4 linked regions of the Arabidopsis thaliana genome follow. The protein of the gene in region 3 purifies or fractionates together with the protein of the main gene of each other region. This does not show direct contact. Each region holds a gene or a part of one and is shown on either strand. Other genes may lie near its edges.

The links.
Region 1: the proteins of AT4G00600 (region 3) and PKT3 fractionate together in Arabidopsis thaliana (co-fractionation; one large-scale study listed by BioGRID). This does not show direct contact.
Region 2: the proteins of AT4G00600 (region 3) and AT1G30580 fractionate together in Arabidopsis thaliana (co-fractionation; one large-scale study listed by BioGRID). This does not show direct contact.
Region 4: the proteins of AT4G00600 (region 3) and NRS/ER fractionate together in Arabidopsis thaliana (co-fractionation; one large-scale study listed by BioGRID). This does not show direct contact.

What each region holds. Positions count from the first base shown.
Region 1 is NC_003071.7:14,046,968-14,053,092, reverse strand, and holds PKT3 (peroxisomal 3-ketoacyl-CoA thiolase 3), read left to right. Parts: upstream 1-1,692; 5' UTR 1,693-2,109; coding exon 2,110-2,199; intron 2,200-2,611; coding exon 2,612-2,688; intron 2,689-2,796; coding exon 2,797-2,881; intron 2,882-2,963; coding exon 2,964-3,090; intron 3,091-3,179; coding exon 3,180-3,278; intron 3,279-3,351; coding exon 3,352-3,419; intron 3,420-3,499; coding exon 3,500-3,607; intron 3,608-3,696; coding exon 3,697-3,774; intron 3,775-3,891; coding exon 3,892-4,024; intron 4,025-4,118; coding exon 4,119-4,215; intron 4,216-4,382; coding exon 4,383-4,506; intron 4,507-4,598; coding exon 4,599-4,707; intron 4,708-4,994; coding exon 4,995-5,078; intron 5,079-5,169; coding exon 5,170-5,279; 3' UTR 5,280-5,615; downstream 5,616-6,125. UniProt on the Arabidopsis thaliana protein: Involved in long chain fatty-acid beta-oxidation prior to gluconeogenesis during germination and subsequent seedling growth. Confers sensitivity to 2,4-dichlorophenoxybutiric acid (2,4-DB).
Region 2 is NC_003070.9:10,831,171-10,837,440, reverse strand, and holds AT1G30580 (GTP binding protein), read left to right. Parts: upstream 1-1,805; 5' UTR 1,806-1,986; coding exon 1,987-2,073; intron 2,074-2,406; coding exon 2,407-2,574; intron 2,575-2,677; coding exon 2,678-2,801; intron 2,802-3,128; coding exon 3,129-3,220; intron 3,221-3,381; coding exon 3,382-3,480; intron 3,481-3,579; coding exon 3,580-3,693; intron 3,694-4,011; coding exon 4,012-4,076; intron 4,077-4,235; coding exon 4,236-4,352; intron 4,353-4,459; coding exon 4,460-4,535; intron 4,536-4,729; coding exon 4,730-4,822; intron 4,823-5,142; coding exon 5,143-5,193; intron 5,194-5,389; coding exon 5,390-5,488; 3' UTR 5,489-5,768; downstream 5,769-6,270. Other genes in the region: AT1G30590 (RNA polymerase I specific transcription initiation factor RRN3 protein), read left to right, coding at 69-152, 246-333, 521-634, 747-931, 1,201-1,465; HERK2 (hercules receptor kinase 2), read right to left, coding at 5,959-6,270. UniProt on the Arabidopsis thaliana protein: Hydrolyzes ATP, and can also hydrolyze GTP with lower efficiency. Has lower affinity for GTP. Exhibits GTPase activity.
Region 3 is NC_003075.7:254,789-258,281, forward strand, and holds AT4G00600 (Amino acid dehydrogenase family protein), read right to left. Parts: upstream 1,823-3,493; coding exon 1,564-1,822; intron 1,455-1,563; coding exon 1,357-1,454; intron 1,269-1,356; coding exon 1,032-1,268; intron 951-1,031; coding exon 783-950; intron 703-782; coding exon 532-702; downstream 1-531. Other genes in the region: AT4G00590 (N-terminal nucleophile aminohydrolases (Ntn hydrolases) superfamily protein), read left to right, coding at 3-92; AT4G00610 (DNA-binding storekeeper protein-related transcriptional regulator), read right to left, coding at 2,169-3,155. UniProt on the Arabidopsis thaliana protein: Catalyzes the oxidation of 5,10-methylenetetrahydrofolate to 5,10-methenyltetrahydrofolate and then the hydrolysis of 5,10-methenyltetrahydrofolate to 10-formyltetrahydrofolate.
Region 4 is NC_003070.9:23,340,488-23,344,623, reverse strand, and holds NRS/ER (nucleotide-rhamnose synthase/epimerase-reductase), read right to left. Parts: upstream 2,414-4,136; 5' UTR 2,115-2,413; coding exon 1,665-2,114; intron 1,221-1,664; coding exon 765-1,220; 3' UTR 504-764; downstream 1-503. UniProt on the Arabidopsis thaliana protein: Bifunctional enzyme involved in dTDP-beta-L-rhamnose biosynthesis. Catalyzes the epimerization of the C3' and C5'positions of dTDP-6-deoxy-4-keto-alpha-D-glucose to form dTDP-4-keto-beta-L-rhamnose and its reduction to yield dTDP-beta-L-rhamnose.

The sequences.
Region 1 (6,125 bases), on a different chromosome or scaffold from region 3:
TTTTGACTGTATATTGTGTCACATTACATTATACATTACAGTTCCACGTGGTATTTTTTATGATTTATTAAATTTGTATGTGTTAAATAAATTTATACTTCATTCATATAGATAAGAAATGTATACTTTACAGTTTACATGTGTATTTGTTATTAAAAAAAGATAATATAAAAGAATAAGATATGGGAATGTTTACCCTAAAATCATATATAAGAGATTCAATTATCTTTTTATCTCATTTAATTTTGAGTCAGGAAAAAATATATATACAGAGAAGAAACAAAATTATTAAAAATGTAAAATTTATTGGTTAACATTTTGTCTTTACAAAAAACATAGATATGTTAATATAACGAATATAGTAAATGATAGAATAAAGATATTTAGTATGGTTAAGTAAGAAAATTAACATTTTCAATAATTTCGTCTCTTCTTTGCATAGGATTTGTTTGCCAACTCAAAGTATATTAGATAAAAAGATAAGATTGAAAACTAAAGTTGATAAGATATTATATTGTTTCACAAAAATTAGACATTGGATAGATGTTTAAGATTAAATAATCTTGTTAGAAATAAAACTGAAGTCTATGATGTTGCATGTAAGAGCTAATACAGTAAAATAAAATTATAAATTAATAACATGGGGAATAAAATATTTTATTGATTTATATAAGTGTTAATTTTTAGATGTAGTAAAAATATTGAAAATGACTTTTTCACAAAAATTAAAACAAATTCAAAGAAAAACAAATAACATTTTTATCCAATTACGTTATATATTATATTCGTCCAACTTTGAACCGGAAAAGTTTATTAATTTACAATGATTATTAAATTGACAAGTATTAATATATAGATGTTTCACTCTAATAGGTTAAATGGACAACTATATGCGAAAATATTAGGGCGATATTACAATAATCACAATGTAAAGATAGACAAGCACAATGTAAAGCTGATCACGTACAGTTTTGTTTCTTCCTCTTCAATGTTAATCTCTCCATTCAGTTAGAGTTAATTTCTAGTCTGATACATAACAAAACTACAAAGTTTCTCGAGTTTTTTTGTTATTTGATAACTCTCTACACGATCTAATTTCAATATTACATGTCGGAAAACTTCCGGAAAGTACCACACAAATGTTTGTAAGATTGAGTAAAATTGAGTAAAGAGAGCTTTAATCTCCCATATTTGCAAGTCGATATAAATTTGGTATCACGGCGTGTAAGAGATCTTGACATGCTAACCTTACGCAGATGTGCATTGTTGCAGTGCCATATTGTCATTATTGGTAATATATATGCCTAAGTAAAGTTCATATTGATAAAAATTTTATTCAAACACTATTGCATCTGCTTGTCAATCGCATAATAACATTATTAATTGAAAATGTAGTTTTCACTATTATACAATATCCGTTCTTATTTCGTTTAAACCGGCCGAGCCCATAGTATTGCAAACTATCACACCATATGGGCTTTAACTTTACGTTGGTAAAACGTAAAAAGAAAATAGCGATCAAGTCTCAAGAAGGGTACTTTTAGAATTAATAGCAACTTTAAGGCGTAAATAGAAGTAATACAAATAGTTGGGGTTATTATGTAAATATGAAGAAGATTAAGATCCAGAAGATGGAAATGAAAAACACGGCACGCATTTCAAAGCCCAAAACGGGCGGGGGCAAACGTCACGCCTAATCTTATCTTCTTCTATCACACTCTCAGCTTATCTATGACTATGACTCTCATCATCAATTATTTCACACTATTAACAATCACCAAACCAGTGTGAACATTTTAATTCATAATTAGAGTAAGGTCATTAGGCTAAAAACTGTTTGATTTGGATTTTACAACTATAGGATAAGAACTTGTATCGCTGTCACAGATGATATTTTTTGGTCGTTTAAGCAAAGAAATATTACGAAAAAGAGATATTTTTTATTCTTACTTATTTTGGGATTATCATTTACCCGGAACGGGCAAAGCGGTGAGTCATCTTACCTTATAAATGATCACAAACCCGAGGACTGTGAGTTTTCGTGTAGAACAAATCCTTCTCTGAGAAAAAACAACAGATCCGAATTTTATCTTTAATCAGCCGGAAAAAATGGAGAAAGCGATCGAGAGACAACGCGTTCTTCTTGAGCATCTCCGACCTTCTTCTTCTTCTTCGCACAATTACGAGGCTTCTCTATCTGTAAGCATTCTATCACCACACACTCTCTCTCTCTCGATCTATCGCGATCTTTTGGTTGTCTTCTCTTGTGTTTGCAGTCTGGGGATTATGGATCGTTGTTGATCTGGATTCATTATATGGAATTTTCGATTTTGATTTTGATGCTGAATTATAATTTGATTCGAGGCGTGCCTGTGAGCTGAAAATTTTAAGTTTCAGCTCGATTGAGATCAAATTCAAGACTTGGATTTTGTTTTTGTATTTCGTTCACTGGATTGAGATAGATATCTTTTTTTTTTTTGTTGTTGTTTGATTTTTGTTCGATTGGGTTGAATTATCCGTGCTCTGCATGTACTGATGATTTCTTAAAAGTCAAAGCTTGATTTCAATTACTACGTGTGATCTCTTTAACGTGTTCTTTCCAAATTCCCAGGCTTCTGCTTGCTTGGCTGGGGACAGTGCTGCATATCAGAGGACCTCTCTCTATGGAGATGATGTTGTCATTGTCGCGTAAGTCCCATCTCTTATGCTTTTACTCTTTTGGTATTTGGTTTTTCAGCAACGTATGAAGATTTCTCGTCTCTTTCTGATAGACTTACACTTATTGATCCATTGCAGGGCACATAGGACTCCACTATGCAAGTCCAAACGTGGCAATTTCAAGGATACATATCCCGATGATTTGCTCGCACCTGTTTTGAGGGTCTGTCGCTATCTTTTCTATTCTGTTGTTGGTTTTTATTTCCTTTCTACGTCTATTTATAGATAGTTCTTCCTTGACATAGGCATTGATAGAGAAGACGAATCTAAACCCAAGTGAAGTAGGTGACATTGTTGTGGGTACTGTTTTGGCACCTGGATCTCAGAGAGCCAGTGAATGCAGGATGGCTGCGTTCTATGCTGGTTTCCCTGGTATGTTTCTTCTATGTACAGTACAATACAATGGTGAAAAGTCTTTGTTTTTATTTCCTGTATGCTCATCCTGTTATGTTCATTTGCAGAAACCGTGGCTGTCAGAACTGTGAATAGACAGTGCTCATCTGGGCTTCAGGCTGTTGCTGATGTAGCCGCTGCCATTAAAGCGGGATTTTATGACATTGGTTAGTGAATAACCGTCTTTAACTACGCCACATTTTTTCATAGAGAACCGAGCTGACGATATGATGGATGCAGGTATCGGGGCTGGTTTGGAGTCCATGACTACCAATCCAATGGCATGGGAAGGGTCAGTCAACCCAGCGGTACTGATTCTCTCTTATCTGGAGTCTTACTTGGCTCTGTTATTTTAATACGTACTATAATACGGACTATGTTATTTCAGGTGAAGAAGTTTGCACAAGCGCAGAATTGTCTTCTTCCTATGGGTGTTACGTCAGAAAATGTAGCACAACGCTTTGGTGTCTCAAGGCAGGAGCAAGATCAAGCTGCTGTAAGGGAACTGAACTTTTTCAGTATGGTTGTATTTTAAATAACCTATAACTTTGATCGCTATGCTAAGCTATGGAGTCATATTGCTAGGTTGACTCGCACAGAAAGGCAGCTGCTGCTACTGCTGCTGGTAAATTCAAGGATGAGATCATTCCTGTTAAGACCAAGGTATTTTTCAGATCCTTCATACAATAACTGTAACATTTAAGACTTCTCTTGGTGGATTAGTTACTGAACTTCATTCATGTTCTAGTATTAGTCAATAACGTGTGTTTTAAATTTCAGCTTGTTGACCCGAAGACTGGTGATGAGAAACCCATTACAGTTTCTGTTGATGATGGTATCCGACCAACCACAACTCTTGCTTCTCTTGGGAAGCTGAAGCCAGTGTTTAAGAAGGATGGCACCACTACTGCTGGTACTTTTCCCGAATCAATTGTTTCATTATGGAAACCACAGTTCTTATTATCACAATTTTAAATCCATTGCTTCATTTGTTCTGTCGCAAACAGGAAATTCCAGCCAAGTAAGTGATGGTGCAGGAGCGGTTCTCCTAATGAAGAGAAGTGTTGCAATGCAAAAAGGACTTCCCGTTCTTGGTGTATTCAGGTGGGTAATAATTACTTACAAAGCTACGACTGTGGAAGTCTGAAAACCGAAAAAACTGCAGAGGCTTGTGATTTCCATTTACACAGATATGCTAGTATACGTGGAAAATACATTGTTCTTTCTGTATTTGGCTTTTTCTAAGTAGCACACTATTGGACATATTGCAGGACATTTGCTGCAGTTGGTGTTGACCCTGCAATCATGGGTATCGGTCCAGCAGTTGCCATTCCTGCTGCAGTTAAGGCGGCTGGTTTAGAACTTGATGACATCGACTTGTTTGAGATCAATGAGGTATATAGCAAACAATTTCATGATCTTCTTATCACATATCTCTTCCCGCACATTCTGATGATGACCATCTGTTTGAATCCTTGTGTGTTCAGGCATTTGCATCTCAGTTTGTTTATTGCCGTAACAAATTGGGACTTGACCCAGAGAAAATCAATGTCAACGGAGGTGCAATGGCCATAGGCCATCCTTTGGGCGCTACAGGTATATCTGTTAAGAACAGGACTAAAACTGTTAAGCTTGTTCCAATTTACCAAACCATAGAGACTTGAATTAATGAGAATCTCTCAACTCTCAACCAAACCTTAAGAAATCCACAGCCGAGATATATCTTTATAAACTCTGTCCTCACTAATGGTTCTTTAACCAACTTACAAGAGCTCTATCTTGCCGCAGTCCGTCCTTTTCAAAGCATATCAATGTCTACATTGTGTCTATATAATTATAAAACGCTCATGAACAGTTGCTAATACTTGTTAAAACTCTCACAGGAGCGCGTTGTGTTGCTACATTGTTGCACGAGATGAAACGCCGTGGTAAAGACTGCCGTTTTGGAGTAGTGTCAATGTGCATTGGTATGCTTCTCACTCGAATAATTCATTGTGAATTTGGTGTCTGAAATATGTGTCTGAGGGATGGTTTTACTGATTTGGTAAACTCTGGCAGGGACGGGGATGGGTGCAGCAGCTGTGTTTGAGAGAGGAGATGGAGTTGATGAGCTTCGCAACGCAAGGAAAGTTGAAGCGCAAGGTCTTTTGTCCAAGGACGCTCGCTAGAGAGGACCATGCACCAAAACCGTTTTTCACCTCACCTCTCTCTTTTCTGGTCTTCTTGTCACTTTCTTCAGATATTATTATAGTTTCGAATAAAGCACACAACCAATGTTTGCCTGAGTCTTGTGTTGTTCTTGACCAGGTCATGTGTTTAGTATTTTTTTTAAGTGAAGGGGGATAATCTTTAAATCTTTTATATGTAAGAATATTGTTCTTCTCGAATTTCATCAGTTGTTGCTTCTAGAAATTTTAGATTTTTTGGGTGGCAGCCATTTCTATATTTCGATGGATAAGTCAAACGTTCATAAAGTCAAGGGTTCTGCCTTTTGTTTGTGTTTCATGATTTTACCTTGAATTTCATTAACTAAAACAGTGTTAATAGTAACAGTTGGGGTGGTGGCGCAGTTGGCTAGCGCGTAGGTCTCATAGCTACTGAGTGATCCTGAGGTCGAGAGTTCGAGCCTCTCTCACCCCATAATTTTATTTTCTCATAGCTATTTATATAACGTTCCTTCTAGTATTTTTTTTTCTTTTCGTTATAGTATCTTGTCTTTGATACCGGAGACGTTATAACGGCAGTATAAGACGTTATAATCATGTTCCAATGCATCCCCTCAGTTTTGTGTTAAAAACGAGCCATCAATGTTATCATATATGGAAATCATTATTGAGGCTTTGACCAATTAATTATGCGAATTGACCGACTTTGATCACTATACAGAGCAAAACAAATCCACTGAATCATTTATTTGTGTAGGTTCATCTTTTTTGGGCACCGTATTCATTTCTTATTCCATGAATTTGACGGAGTAATTTTGATTTTCTTTTTCGAGTAAGAATCTGGTCAAA
Region 2 (6,270 bases), on a different chromosome or scaffold from region 3:
TGATATGAAGCTAATATTGTTCTAATCACCACTTGTGTATTCTTTTGTTTTCTCTTTATACTTAACAGGATGAGTGCAGTGGCTTATCTAGCTAGCTATTTGTCTCGTGGAAAGTTTTTGCCTGCTTCTTTTGTGGCTAGCATGTTGAAAAGGTACGTATTGCTAAAAAATGGAAAATGTAATTGTTTGATCTGATTTAAGTCTCGCTTTGTTGTAACATAGTTTCTCTTTTGCTGAAATCCTAGATTGGTGGACGAGTGTGCGGAATATTGCGGAACATGCAATGATGATGTGAAGCCAGAAGCACATCAAGTGTTCTATTCTGGATGTCAGGTATAGTCCAAGTTTAAGACCATCTTATGGCTTTTGATTCCTTAAGAACTCTTCTGTGAAATCATTGACGTCTCTAGTTATCAATCATTGTTAATGTTCACACCCTTACCAGAAGCTTATTGGCGTTTGGGATCATATGCTATTATGTCATGTATCGCTTAAAGTTGTTACTTTTCTATGACTGTAGGCAATCTTGTATGTGCTATGCTTCCGAATGAGATCCATAGTGGAGATTCCTCGCTTTCAATCGCAGTTTAGATCATTGGAGTCAATTTTATCTCACAAACTAAACCCACTACTGGTGGGTGACTTACACTAATCATTTTCTTCTCATAGCTCAACTGTTATTTTAAGTAGTCTTCACTCCAAGTATCAAATGCATTATGCTTGCACCATTCATTTTGTGTGAACAGGTGTGTCTTCCATCTGTAGTTTCCGAGTTCCTTAAACAAGCCAAAGCTGGTGGTCTGTTCATTGTCTCAGAATCCTTCATTTTCGATGACCTACACGAGTCTGAGCTCTCTCGTGCTTTTGGTGGCTTTGAAAGGCTTGACACATTCTTCCCGTTTGACCCGTGCTTGTTGAAAATGTCTAGCAGGTTTGCTATCTTTACTCTTGATTATTTTTTCTCTTCCAAAGTAAGGACAAATCAATGTGAGAATCTTACACAAGGTTCTTGACTCACTGGATGAATTTACCCGACCTGGGCATATTTGATACAAATTCTACTGCATACATCTTAATTACAGTCTTGAAATGACATTGAAAATTATTTTAATATGATAAAACAAGTGATGAATCAAAGTATTTGCATTGGATAGGCTTGAACTCTCTTTCTCACACGTGTTTTCTTGTCAATTCTTGAAGCTACATCTCCCCGAACTTCAACTTCTGGTCAATGGTGAAAACGACTTATGGAGAAGATGGTGACGAAGAGCTTTGTGATGAGGTCATAGTGAATGGAGATGCAGACAGTGCGGAGGAACCTGACGATGACGTTGAACTTGATAGTGAGATGAACACGATGTCTACAACTCCGAAACACTCTTTCATGCGAGAAACAGAGAGGCTCTTGAAGATGCCTTCAAGAATCAGACCATCCACTAGTCCTCCTGAATCCTTCTTAATCTAATAGTCATAGAGAGAGGGAATGCAATTTTGCAATGTAGGTTTCTTATTACAATCTCTTAGCTAGTGCGTAAACTCTAAAAAAAAGAAGTTGACATGAGTTTTGTGCGAGTCTGTGGTATTATCTGATCGCATGTGGTTTTGTAGCAAAATTTTGAAGAACATCTATGAAGTAAAATTTAGTCAGTTGGTTTATGATTACCTAATTTGAGTTTCGGTTTAATTTGGTTAAGTTGAAATGCTGAATGATTGATTTCTCGGTTTAGTGTTCAATATTGGGTTTACTTTGTCCACAAAATTGGTTAAAAATAGCTCTTTGTATTTTGGTAAATGTCCCGCAAATGGTTAAAAGTAAACCGGGAATTGACCCTCCGATTTAAACCGGTCCGTAAACCAGCTGAGCAATCTCTCTTTAACCTCGGCGTCGGCGTCTTGTAGCTTCTTCTGCTAGGCTTTGTTAATCAGCAAAAACCCTAGAATATCTTAGAGCTTCGCTTCACTTTCAAGCTCGAGACTTTGAGAAAGATGCCTCCGAAAGCCAAAGCTAAAGATGCAGGTCCCGTAGAGAGGCCTATTCTTGGCCGTTTCTCTTCTCACCTCAAGATCGGAATTGTAATTTTTCTCTTCATCTCTCTTTTAGAATCCAAGTTGATTAATTTCGAATGGTGAATGGTAGATTTGCTCATCGCAATACTTTCCTCGATAAAAGTTTTTTTTTTTTTTCTTCTTCTGAGTTTTGCCGGGAGAGATCTATTAACTCATCAGTGATGCATGATGATATTGTTTGTTTCGTTGTGTTTGTCACTGTACTCTTTTAGATGTTTAATCCATATTTAAGAAACTGCTTCTTTGATACAGTGATTAAGGTTGATTGTTCATGGTTGATATGATGATATGGAGAAGTATTGATGTTATTCACTATGGGAATTGTTTGTGGCATCGCAGGTTGGGTTACCAAATGTTGGAAAATCTACTCTTTTCAACACTCTTACAAAGCTTTCAATTCCAGCTGAGAATTTCCCCTTTTGTACCATTGAGCCTAATGAGGCACGTGTGAATATCCCCGATGAGAGGTTCGATTGGCTTTGCCAAACTTACAAGCCTAAGAGTGAGGTAAGTTTGTAACTTTATTTCATGACTTGCTGTTAAGGAAGAGATTACTACTATCTGAATTACTTTATGAATGGGCTGACTTCTGTCTGTTTTGATGCCTCAGATTCCAGCTTTCTTGGAAATTCATGACATTGCTGGGCTTGTTAGAGGAGCTCATGAAGGACAGGGTCTTGGAAACAACTTCTTGTCCCATATTCGTGCAGTTGATGGAATTTTCCATGTTTTACGTATGGTTTTTCCCTCTCGCTTTTTCTCCTAGTGCCAGCTTTGTTTTAGTGTGATGCGTGATTTGATGAATAATTTAGACTGTACTGCTACTTGTGCTGTCTTGAATTTCTACTTGAGCAGGCTTTTCAATGAGAGACAGGTTAAAAACCTTTATATATTTTTCTTCCCATTTGATACCTATAGGGCCATTGCGATAGTTAGTTTATGTTTTCCTCTCCAAGCATATCTGTTCTTGAACAACGGGGATGTTTCTTTAATAGTTGCTGATAGTAAGATATCTTGCCAGTTATATAGTGGTTAGTGACTTTTCGATTGAACATATGCAGGTGCTTTTGAAGATGCTGATATTATCCATGTCGACGATATCGTGGATCCTGTTAGAGATTTGGAGACCATTACTGAAGAGTTGCGGCTAAAGGTGAATCAAATCTCTAAACAGATATTTGACTGCTATATCTCCAAACTCGTGAAATCCTTTCTGTGTATATTAATACAGTAGTCTGTTTTTTGTATTAGTTGGATCTTCATTTCATCCATTGTTGTTTTGGTTTCAAACTGAATTCTTTGGTGCAACTTTAGGATATTGAATTTGTTGGAAAGAAGATTGATGATGTCGAGAAGAGCATGAAGAGGAGCAATGACAAGCAGCTGAAAATAGAACTTGAGCTCTTGCAAAAGGTATGCTATAATTTGACAACCATGCAGTCTTGTTCTGCAAATGTTATTGCTCATTAATTATTAATTGGCCGAAAAAATGACTGTACCTCTCTGGTTTAGGTAAAAGCTTGGCTAGAAGATGGTAAGGATGTCCGTTTTGGGGACTGGAAAACAGCTGATATCGAGATTTTGAACACTTTCCAATTGCTTTCTGCAAAGCCCGTTGTTTACTTGGTGAGTAGTCTTGAATGTTCATCTCTTTCTGTTACCATTGTTTCTATCAAGATAAATGCATTTGCTTCTTTCATATCTATAGTCGACAATTTTGTTCCCTCAATTTTTTTCGGGTCAGTTTGCAAAATGTAGGTCATACTGTCTATTTTTGTGACACTATTTGCCCCCAAATTTAACCATAGTGTGTTCCTTAGCTATTTCTGATCTCTATGCTTTCATGTTTGTTTCAACTATGTGTTTCATCTCAGTGTAAGAACTATTAAGGCATCTTGGTTGGACTTTTTGTGATCACTGGTTACTCTGAAATTTAAATTACAGATTAACCTGAATGAGAGAGACTATCAGAGGAAGAAAAACAAGTTCTTGCCAAAGATTCATGCCTGGTACTAATATATATCCTTTCACAAACTATGTTGAATAATAAGTAAAACATTTTGCCCCTTGGTTGTTGCAAAAGTTTCTAATATGGCTACGTGCTTACACATTTACTTACCTTATTATACTTCTCCTAAACTAAAAATATCTGTTTCATCATTATGTAGGGTTCAAGAACACGGTGGTGATACTATGATTCCTTTCAGTGGTGTGTTTGAAAGGAGTCTCGCTGATATGGCCCCAGATGAAGCAGCAAAGTATTGTGAGGAGAACAAACTGCAAAGGTTAGGAATAAAAGAACAGCACCTTGCGAATGAATAGTTGCTCCTGAAGATGATTTTTCTTTATGAATCTGTTAAATTGAATCTTATGGCCATTGCTGCTTTGACAGTGCTCTTCCGAGGATCATCAAAACTGGATTTTCAGCAATTAACCTCATATACTTCTTTACAGCAGGGCCTGATGAGGTATTAACAGTCCCACTTTACTTGGCTTCACTACACGCTTTAGTCTCTAGTTCTCTGTGAAATTCTTCTAAGCATAATTGTTCTGTAATGAGCTATTTGGTAGTGCATGATCAGTGTTATGTGTCAAGTAGTGCATTGTTACTGGAATTTGATGGTTTATAAAATACATCCATCAATGATACTTTGATTTGCAGGTGAAGTGCTGGCAAATAAGACGGCAGTCAAAGGCTCCTCAAGCTGCAGGGGCCATTCATACTGATTTTGAGAGAGGATTTATTTGTGCTGAGGTACCATTTTCTCATTTCTCTTGAATCTTGGTCAATTCACTAGTTTATTCCTACCTAAAATTTACATGCGTAAAGCCTTTCCCCTCCAGATTTTGATGATTTGTTCTGTTATAGAGTTTATATAATCTTTCTTATGTTTTCACTGACAAAAACAAATGCTTGCTTGCATATTCTTATATTCATCTTGGTGTTGATTTCCTAGTATCGATGCAGGCCTGTAGATATCAAAGCAGAATCCTAATGCAAACCATATCTAATCAAATATTTTTCTGTTTTGAAATTCAATGTGATTTATTCCAATGTTGTTGTTGATGTCACAGGTCATGAAATTCGAGGATCTCAAGGAACTTGGCAATGAACCTGCAGTCAAGGTATTTGTCTATAACTTCTTTTCCTTCTACAATCTCTTAAGGTCTCGGTGGAGTAAGTAGCCTCTAAAAACAGACATGAAAATGTTAAGGAAGCTCTCCACTGTGCAAGATATCCTCGTTGAAGAGGCATGATTATATTTATAATGTTCATGGCGATGACACTTGGTCTAATTTATAATCCCTTCAACTAATGCAGGCCGCAGGAAAATACAGACAGGAGGGTAAAACATATGTTGTTCAGGATGGAGATATCATTTTCTTCAAGTTCAATGTTTCCGGTGGTGGGAAGAAATGAGATCCATCCGTCTGTCCACCTATCCGCGGTGTCCTCTCTGGATCTTGAAGCTCTATCCATTTCCGAGAAAGGAACCAAGCTGTATTTTCCGTTTTTGAGTGGCTTTACCAAACAAGTATTTGTAACTCTTTACATTTTGCAGTTAGCTAAGACATGTCTTTGCCTTTAGACAGAGCATTAAGCCTGCTGTATCGTTTAGAACTCTTTCAATAAGTTTTTCTCTACTATTTGGAAAGAACCTTGAGTAATTGTGCGTGAGAATGAGTTGAAGAAACCCAGCAAACAACTTCTGGTGCACTTATTAGCGAAGGAAACAAATGGAAAGAATGATTAAACGAATACCTTAAGGAAATTATATTTGCAGTGTATATTACAAGCTCTATTACAAAAGAGCTTCTGGATAGATCACAATCAATTATAACAAAAGAACAAAAGAATTATTTTGGGACTGGCCAATCCAATTGCTTCCTCTAAGCCGAATTGTGAAGAGCAGATCCTGTTTGGCTCTGCTCAGTTTCTGAGGAATCTTGATTGGAACAAGCTGGAAGAGTAAAGCTCTCTGGTGCTTCTTCTACCGCTTGGCTGCTCGAAAACGAGTTTTCTCCATTCTGTTTGCGAAGCCAAGCTTCATGAATCTGCAAAACATACTCCAAGCTCCATAACACTTCTCCCATCATTGGCCTGTTCTTCCCTTCATCCGCTAAGCACTTCTCTGCTATCTCCCCATACTTCTCCAACGATTCAGGACTGTAGTTTCCCCTCAGATTTGAGTCGATGATGGA
Region 3 (3,493 bases):
AGATTTCGATTCTCAGGACGAGGAGACAGATGAGTGAGGCTGGGGTAGACCATTTTGAAGCCCGGATTGATCTCCGCCCAACCTGTTGCTGATTAATTTCTGAAGTTTTGGTATTTTGTGGAGAAAAGTTTCAGAATCTGTAACATAGGAGTCATGGGACACACCAAAATGACTTCCAACATCAATCGTAATGACTTCATCCTTAAGCTATCTTCCAAGACTTACATTACGTTAAAAGATACATTTGATAAAGCAAAAATGCTTTTGCCAATCACCACAGTTGCTTCATGGTAGTTCTACTCCCAAAATGAACAAAAGCTCACACACAAACTTATAAAGATCCAAATAATTATCTAGCAAAGCCGCAAGATAATCAGGGAACTCACAATCTGGATAAGGTAACCTCTAAAATCAAAGAACAAGAACCGAAATAATATTATTTCTGACTTAACGCTAAGCAAAAATCATTGGCTTCAAAAAACCAAAGTAAGATTTGTTTATTTAAAAAAAGGCGAGCAATCATCTTTGAAGTCACTGGAAGTTGTGAATTCTCTTGGCTGATGTTAAAGTGTTGGATAGAAGCATGGCTATGGTCATTGGTCCTACATCACCAGGAACAGGTGTGATGGCTGATGCAATTTTGCTAGCCTCCACATAGCAAATGTCTCCAACCAACCGCTCTCCACCGGCAGCACTTGGATCCTGCAATTCATATTACTTTCACATACTGTATTTGATTTGATCATTCATTATACTACCATATGTCAAAAAATTCCACTCACCTCAACAGGTTTAATCCCAACATCGATGAGGACTGCACCCGGTTTTATCCAGCTTCCTCTGACCATGTTTGGTTTCCCAACAGCTGAGATTAGGATATCAGCTTGTCTTGTGAGTTCTTCAGGGTTCATGGTTCTTGAATGGATAATGCTAACGGTTGCATCCTCCTTCTACATTTAGAAAATAAACATCGATAAAGAATGTTGTCCTAACCAGAAAAAATGGCATATTGAAGAAGGAATCATCATTACCTGCAGCAACAGAGCAGCTGGCATACCAACAATGTTACTCCTTCCAATAACAACTGCTCTTTTGCCTTTGAATTCAATGTTGTATCTGTGCAACAACTCGATGCATCCTTTTGGAGTACATGGAACGAATAAAGGTTCTCTACCACGCATGGCAAGCCGTCCAATATTTAGCGGGTGAAATCCATCAACGTCCTTCTCTATACTAACCGCATTCAATATGTTCTGTTCATCCATATGCTGCATATACACGACATCCCAAAACACCGTTGTAATTTACTGTTTATTTTAAGTTATGATGAAGAATATGAAGATAGACTTTGTTTACCGATGGTAGAGGCAACTGAACAAGGACTCCGTGAACAGAAGGATCATCATTGAATCCTGATACATATTTCAACACCTCTTCTTCTGATGAATCTTCAGCTAGACGAACTTGGACTGATTTAATTCCGACGGATTCACAAGCTATTTTCTTGTTCCTCACGTAAGTAGCGGATTCCTTGTTCTTTTCCAACAAGGATTACTGCTAAACCAGGAACCACACCGATTGATTCCTTCATTCTTGAAACTTCGATTTTGATATCATCTCTAATCTTTTTGGCCTCAGCCTTTCCATCAATTACAATCGCAGATGGAGAAGAAGAGGAGCGAATGGAGAGAGTGCAGCGCCAAGTAGACGCAGTTGTCCGTAAGCTGAATTGGCTGACGCTCGGGCGGGGGAGGAAAACACCATTGCGGTTGTATAAATGGATGAGACGCGACGTTGTGGAGGAGGAGCAATCAGTAAACATCATCGACGCCATTTGTTTACTAGGCAAACAGAAGAAAACAAAGTAGATTGTTTCTAAGTTAACGTGTGTGTAAAGGTAGATATAGAAGATATGTACTTATCTTAAATCCATTAGGAATTATCTCCTAGAATCATTATTAGTTTATATCATATCATAATTATCTAACGATTTCATGTCTGTAGTAACAAAGGAAGAAGACTAAGATGCAAACAAAAAACCACCTATTTTTGTTATCCAAAAAAACATCTTTAACATAAAACATATGAATAAACGAGAAAGCCATAAAGGTTCCAACACAAAACCAAAAAGAAAAACATAGGCAAATGCATCTCTAAACAGATAAAGACTAAACATATTTAGCCATCAAAGATCTCATCTCATGCACAACGTCAATCTTCTGCCACGTCGTTTTGAGCTCATCAGCTTGCATGGACTTCACCTTTTCTTCTATCCTCTTCCTCTTCTTCACCGGTACCAAACTCCAATTCTTCTTCCATGTCTCTTCATCAACCCCCGGACCCAATTCTTTAAACGCACCATCAACAAACGACCTCTCGAACCAATCACTTTCTTCATCAACCTTAAGCTTCTTCTTCTTTGGCTTCACAAGAGCAGTAGCATCACCATCACTTACCCAAATTATCTCAGCCAATTCGTAACACTTCTTATCATGCTCTGTAGTAGTTTTCTTGTTCTCAATATACTTTCTCTTCATAGACCGGATTTTGTTAACGAACTGATCAGTCTTCACCTCAAAGCTAATCGAATCTTTAAGTTTTTCGAAAAAGCCATTCATGTCCTCGGAAACATTCTTACCTGTATCCTTAGCAAATTTGATCATTCCTTGAAGAAAGACGATCTCGTCTTCATCAGTCCACAATCTCTGAAACAACAGTGGCTTCTTCCCCGTCTCTGTTTCAGTCTTGGCTCGTTCCTCCTCTGGTTTTCCTTCACTTTGTCTCTTCTCATTCGAAGAAGAAGGAGCAGCAGCAGCAAGAGTCATCGGCTCAGCTTCAGTGTCAGACTCACTCTCCGATCCCGACTCTGAATCGCTGGAAGGCTCATCTTCCTCCTCCTCCTCAGATGAAGTTGATGCGACGGCTTCCAACGGCTTCTTGACCGGAGATGTGACACCCGACGGTTTCTTCGCTGGAGATGCGACTCCCGACAGTTTCTTTGACGTAGATGCGACGTCAGATGACTTCTTCACCGTTGATGGAGTAACCAAAGTCTTGTTCTTGGCCATCGGAGAGAAACGAGAGAGAAATTTGGTAGGGTTTTTAAATAAAAAATTGAGAAGTTGGTCAGTTTTAAGGTTTTGCACCGAAACCATATATTGCATTTGGTTCTTTCCTTAATTACAAGTATCATAAATCTTTGACCAATTTTACGGGGTTTATGGTGTACATCTAAAATTCAAAAAGTAAATGTTAATAAATCTAATTTTGGTAACTGAATTTCCGATTGGTATTTTTAGTATATTAAAAAAATTAAAACTAAATGCTAACTAATCGAGTAATCTTTCTTTAATTGTTTAATGAGATCAATGATTCAGTTAATCAGTAATTACTAATCGAGTAATATCTTTTTTATTTAATTACAATTATCATAAATCACATTAATTGTTTTGACTAATTTTACGGGGTTTATGGTGTACATTTAAAATTCAAA
Region 4 (4,136 bases), on a different chromosome or scaffold from region 3:
CGAGTTTTTTCTTTTTTCTTTTGTCTCATATTTTGAGACTGAGAATGTTTAAAAGAAGTTTTTGAATAGATTATGTCAAATTGTGATTTTAAGTATTAAAAAATGACATGGTGTAGTCACATTCATGCATGATCATATCAAACACATACTCTGTTATTCGGCTTTGAAAGGTGAATTTCATCACTCTTACAATAACGATGCAAAGTGTGTTGCAAAATCCAAAGAAAAGTAGTATTTCAAGGAGATTCCAACTAAATCAATTGATCTTAATAATGGAATGATCGTCAATTTTGGTGTTTCAAACTGGATCCGGGACCAATGGAAACTGAAGTTTGAGGAAGTGAGTAGTGACATTCATCTGTTTACCAAAAACGCTAGCTGAACAATGCAGCATATGCTGGAAACTCTGGCAATGTTTCATTTGTTTATCATATTTACGTTCCGATCCAGATTTCAAATGTAATATTTTAGGCCAAGGCTAAGATCTTTCTGATCCTCTGGATGAAAGATAGTTTGATTAACAAGAGTAAATAATGCAAAATAGTACATTTCTTATTTGTAATGAAACAAAAGTTTATTTTAACAATACAACAACATTGGGAAAAAGAAAAACAAAAAAATAAAATACAAAAAACACAACAATTTTTTCAGCCCATAAACCCAAAAAAAAAAAAGATACTTCTTTTAAAAACCCAAACTTTTTTTGTCTTTCATTTGATTTGTTTTTTTGGGGTTAAGAACCGTTTACCTTACAAAACCACATTTCAAGCTTTAACTTCAGTCTTCTTGTTGGGCTCAAACACGAACTTGATCAGAGACTCTTTGATAGACATCAACTCAGGGAACTCAGTCTTCAACTTAGTTGCATCAAGCTCATTGTTACTCCTTGGCGCCACAATCACTTTAGCTTGTTCCTCCAATGTGAAGTTCTTCCAAGTAAAACTCGGGTCAATGTAGTCTCTGTACATCTCCAAGATCTCGTTGTGGCTCACAACACCCGGGTTAGTGAAATTGTAGATCCCGGTTAAGTTCCTCTTCGCCATTTCGATTGATATCGGGAGAAGCTCATCGAGGATTGTCATCGAGTTTGGGATGTCCACAACTTTCTCATACCGAGCAATCTTCGTGATGAAGTTTCTCGGGTTTGTTAGATCCGATGAAATCGGCATTCGCACTCTTAGCGTGCATACATTTTCATAGTTCTTGAGCAGCTCCTCCACCTGAATGATTCACCAAGATCAAAACCAGATTCCAACAGTCAATACACGAGCTTATCATGATAATGATTATATGAATCAATAAGTTCTGGTCAAAGTATTTCATCTGGAACATTTTTATTGCTAATTTAACATCTAAGACCTAAGCAATCACAAGTATTGAAACCAAATTAGCAACAGGTCAAATCTGAATAATGTCCTAAGTAACTAAAGGGGTCAAAATGTAAATTAACGAAGCTCTCACAAGTCTAATCTACAATCATCTGAAACAATTTGAGAGCTAATCTTACATTCAAAAGTCAAAACCTCAACAATTCACACAAATCAGAACTTAATTTACTAAAAAATCTTAGATTTTGGGGTTTACTCAAAGAAGAAACTAAAGATACAGATCAAATCTGAAGTTATTCATAAATAAAAGGATTGAAAATGTAAAAAGTTACTCACCATAGCTTTGGTTTTAGAGTAGAAAGATCCGGTGAAATTAGGAGTATCCTCCTCCTTGAATCCAATACCCGACCCGAGAGGATGACCCGAATCATACTCAAATATACAACCCGTAGCGTAATTGATCAGAACAAGTCCTTTCTCTCTGCAAATGTCAGCGAGAGTTAGGGTTCCGGCGACATTAGTACGAATCGTCTCAACTTTGTGAGATTCGCACCAATCAACATTAGGACGACCGGTGACTCCAGCAGCGTTGAACACGTGGCTAGGTTTCACGGATTCGATGTCGGCGACGATCGATTGACGATCTTGAAGACGACCGGAGCCGTAAGTGTAAGTGATTCCTTGAGCTTCGCAGAGTTTACCGAGTAAACCACCGATCCATCCGGTTTTACCGTAGATTAGGAAGTTAAATGAGCTTGATGATGAACCGTTTGCGTCTGCAACCATTTTTTTTTTTTGTCGGTGATCGGAAAGTTTTCGCCGGAGAGATATAAGAGAGAGTGTGTGGATCTGAAGGAGATGGTATAGGGAGACGTTGTGATCGGTGTTGCTTCTTTTTATCCCAATTTCTCGGGGAAGCAATAATCTTTTTAGTTTTTTTCTTTTGACCACCCATCGTTTCTTATTTGAGATTTGTGACCCATGAGTTTTTTTTCATGAATATTTTAGGAAATTGTTAAATTTAGGTGACATTACCAAAAATTAAGCAAAACATGTGTAGATAATTGGAGTAGTGATAAATTTTTGTTATTGAATTTAAGAAAATGTTTTCATTAGTACTTATACAACTAGTTAACTTAAATTTAACATAAAATAAACAAGTTATCCCGTTTTTAAAATTATATGATAAAAATAGTTCTATGGATAAAAAAAAATGCTATTAATATTTTTATAAGAAAACTTGTTATTATGTATAAATTTGTTGTTACTTTATACACTTTTAATAGCATAATGTAGAACTTTTATTCAGTAAATATAAGAAGACTTTATAAATTTTATTTCGTGGAAATGTCATTGAAAAAAATGTGTTAGTAGGAATAACAAAAAATTATTTCAATATATGAATATAATATGTGACAGATCACCCTAAACATGAATTATTGTGTTTCGTAGTGGTTTTGTGTGTTTAAAATAGTTTATTGTTGTCTGAATTTTAGACAGAGATCTGTGAAAGCGGTGGCGTGAGAAATTATTAGTTAAACACAAAGGAGATTCCACTTCATTGGGTGTCTGAATTTAAAATATGTATTATTCGTTGCAATTTTAATTAAAGAATCTCTTTTTTTTCTTTTTACCACCCTTTTTCTGGTCAACTACTACTCATACTATTTTTTAATAGTGAAAATTAAAAAGTTCGAAGAAAAAGAAAAAAACACTTAAAACACGTTACTGTTTTGAATTTACAATTCACAATTATCGACTATAAATGCGTATATTATATTAAGCATCCGAATCTTATGAGATCAAAGAGCTAACTTAGCAAAAGAACCCGTTAACGAATCGGTAACCCTTTAAACATAGTATCATTTCAATAAATATACAGATACATCTCAATTACAAATTAATGTAGTGATTTATATCATATTCATATGTACATAATTCCACCGATTTTTGGTACTAAATATTGTAATTGCAAAGTTTCTATATATATTGTAATTGATTTGACATCGAAACTAATGAGGTTTAAACCAAAGATCTGGATCTATACAACATTTGATATATTAAGCATATAAAACTCCAAATGTACAAATCCCCCTGCCCTTAAATACCATACACGTTATCGAAAATATATACGTATGTCACTAACATTCATTTATTAAGCAGTCAGTCCAACTTCTTTTGTCAAATTAATTAGTAGTTTAATGTTATAGTAATCGGGGGTTACCATAAGGCATAAAGTAATGTCTTTACTTTTATATATATATATATAAACAGATCGGATCTTCTGTCTGAATCGTAGTGGACAAATGATGGCGGCATGTGGTGACTTTTCTAAGATAGTAAGATCCCAAGTTCTCAATCTCAAGAGCTATTTTTTCTTTTTTAATGAATACATCATATATCTATTTCTCGGTCTAGTTGTGTTTGTAAACTCGTTTGAAAATATTAAGTTACACAAATCTTGGTATCAAATAAAGAACTAGAAAACTATACGTTAATTAGTTTTTGAGAATACCAATAATCTAAACTGGAATTAAACTAATCCATTTTTATGGACGATTTCTTTCATTGATCGGTCCAAAGATATTATGATATGGCTTATATTTTATAAAACACTGCCTTTTTTGTCGGCATCATTACTTTATATTTCCAAATGATGGTCTAGTCATCCACGGAAAACACGTTACAAAATCAGTGTTCTTACCAAAAAGATAAATTTGAATGCACAATACAAACAAAATGAATTACAATCTAGTAACAACCAGTAATCACGCAACGCACAAATCATATAGTAGTCGGTGGATCTAA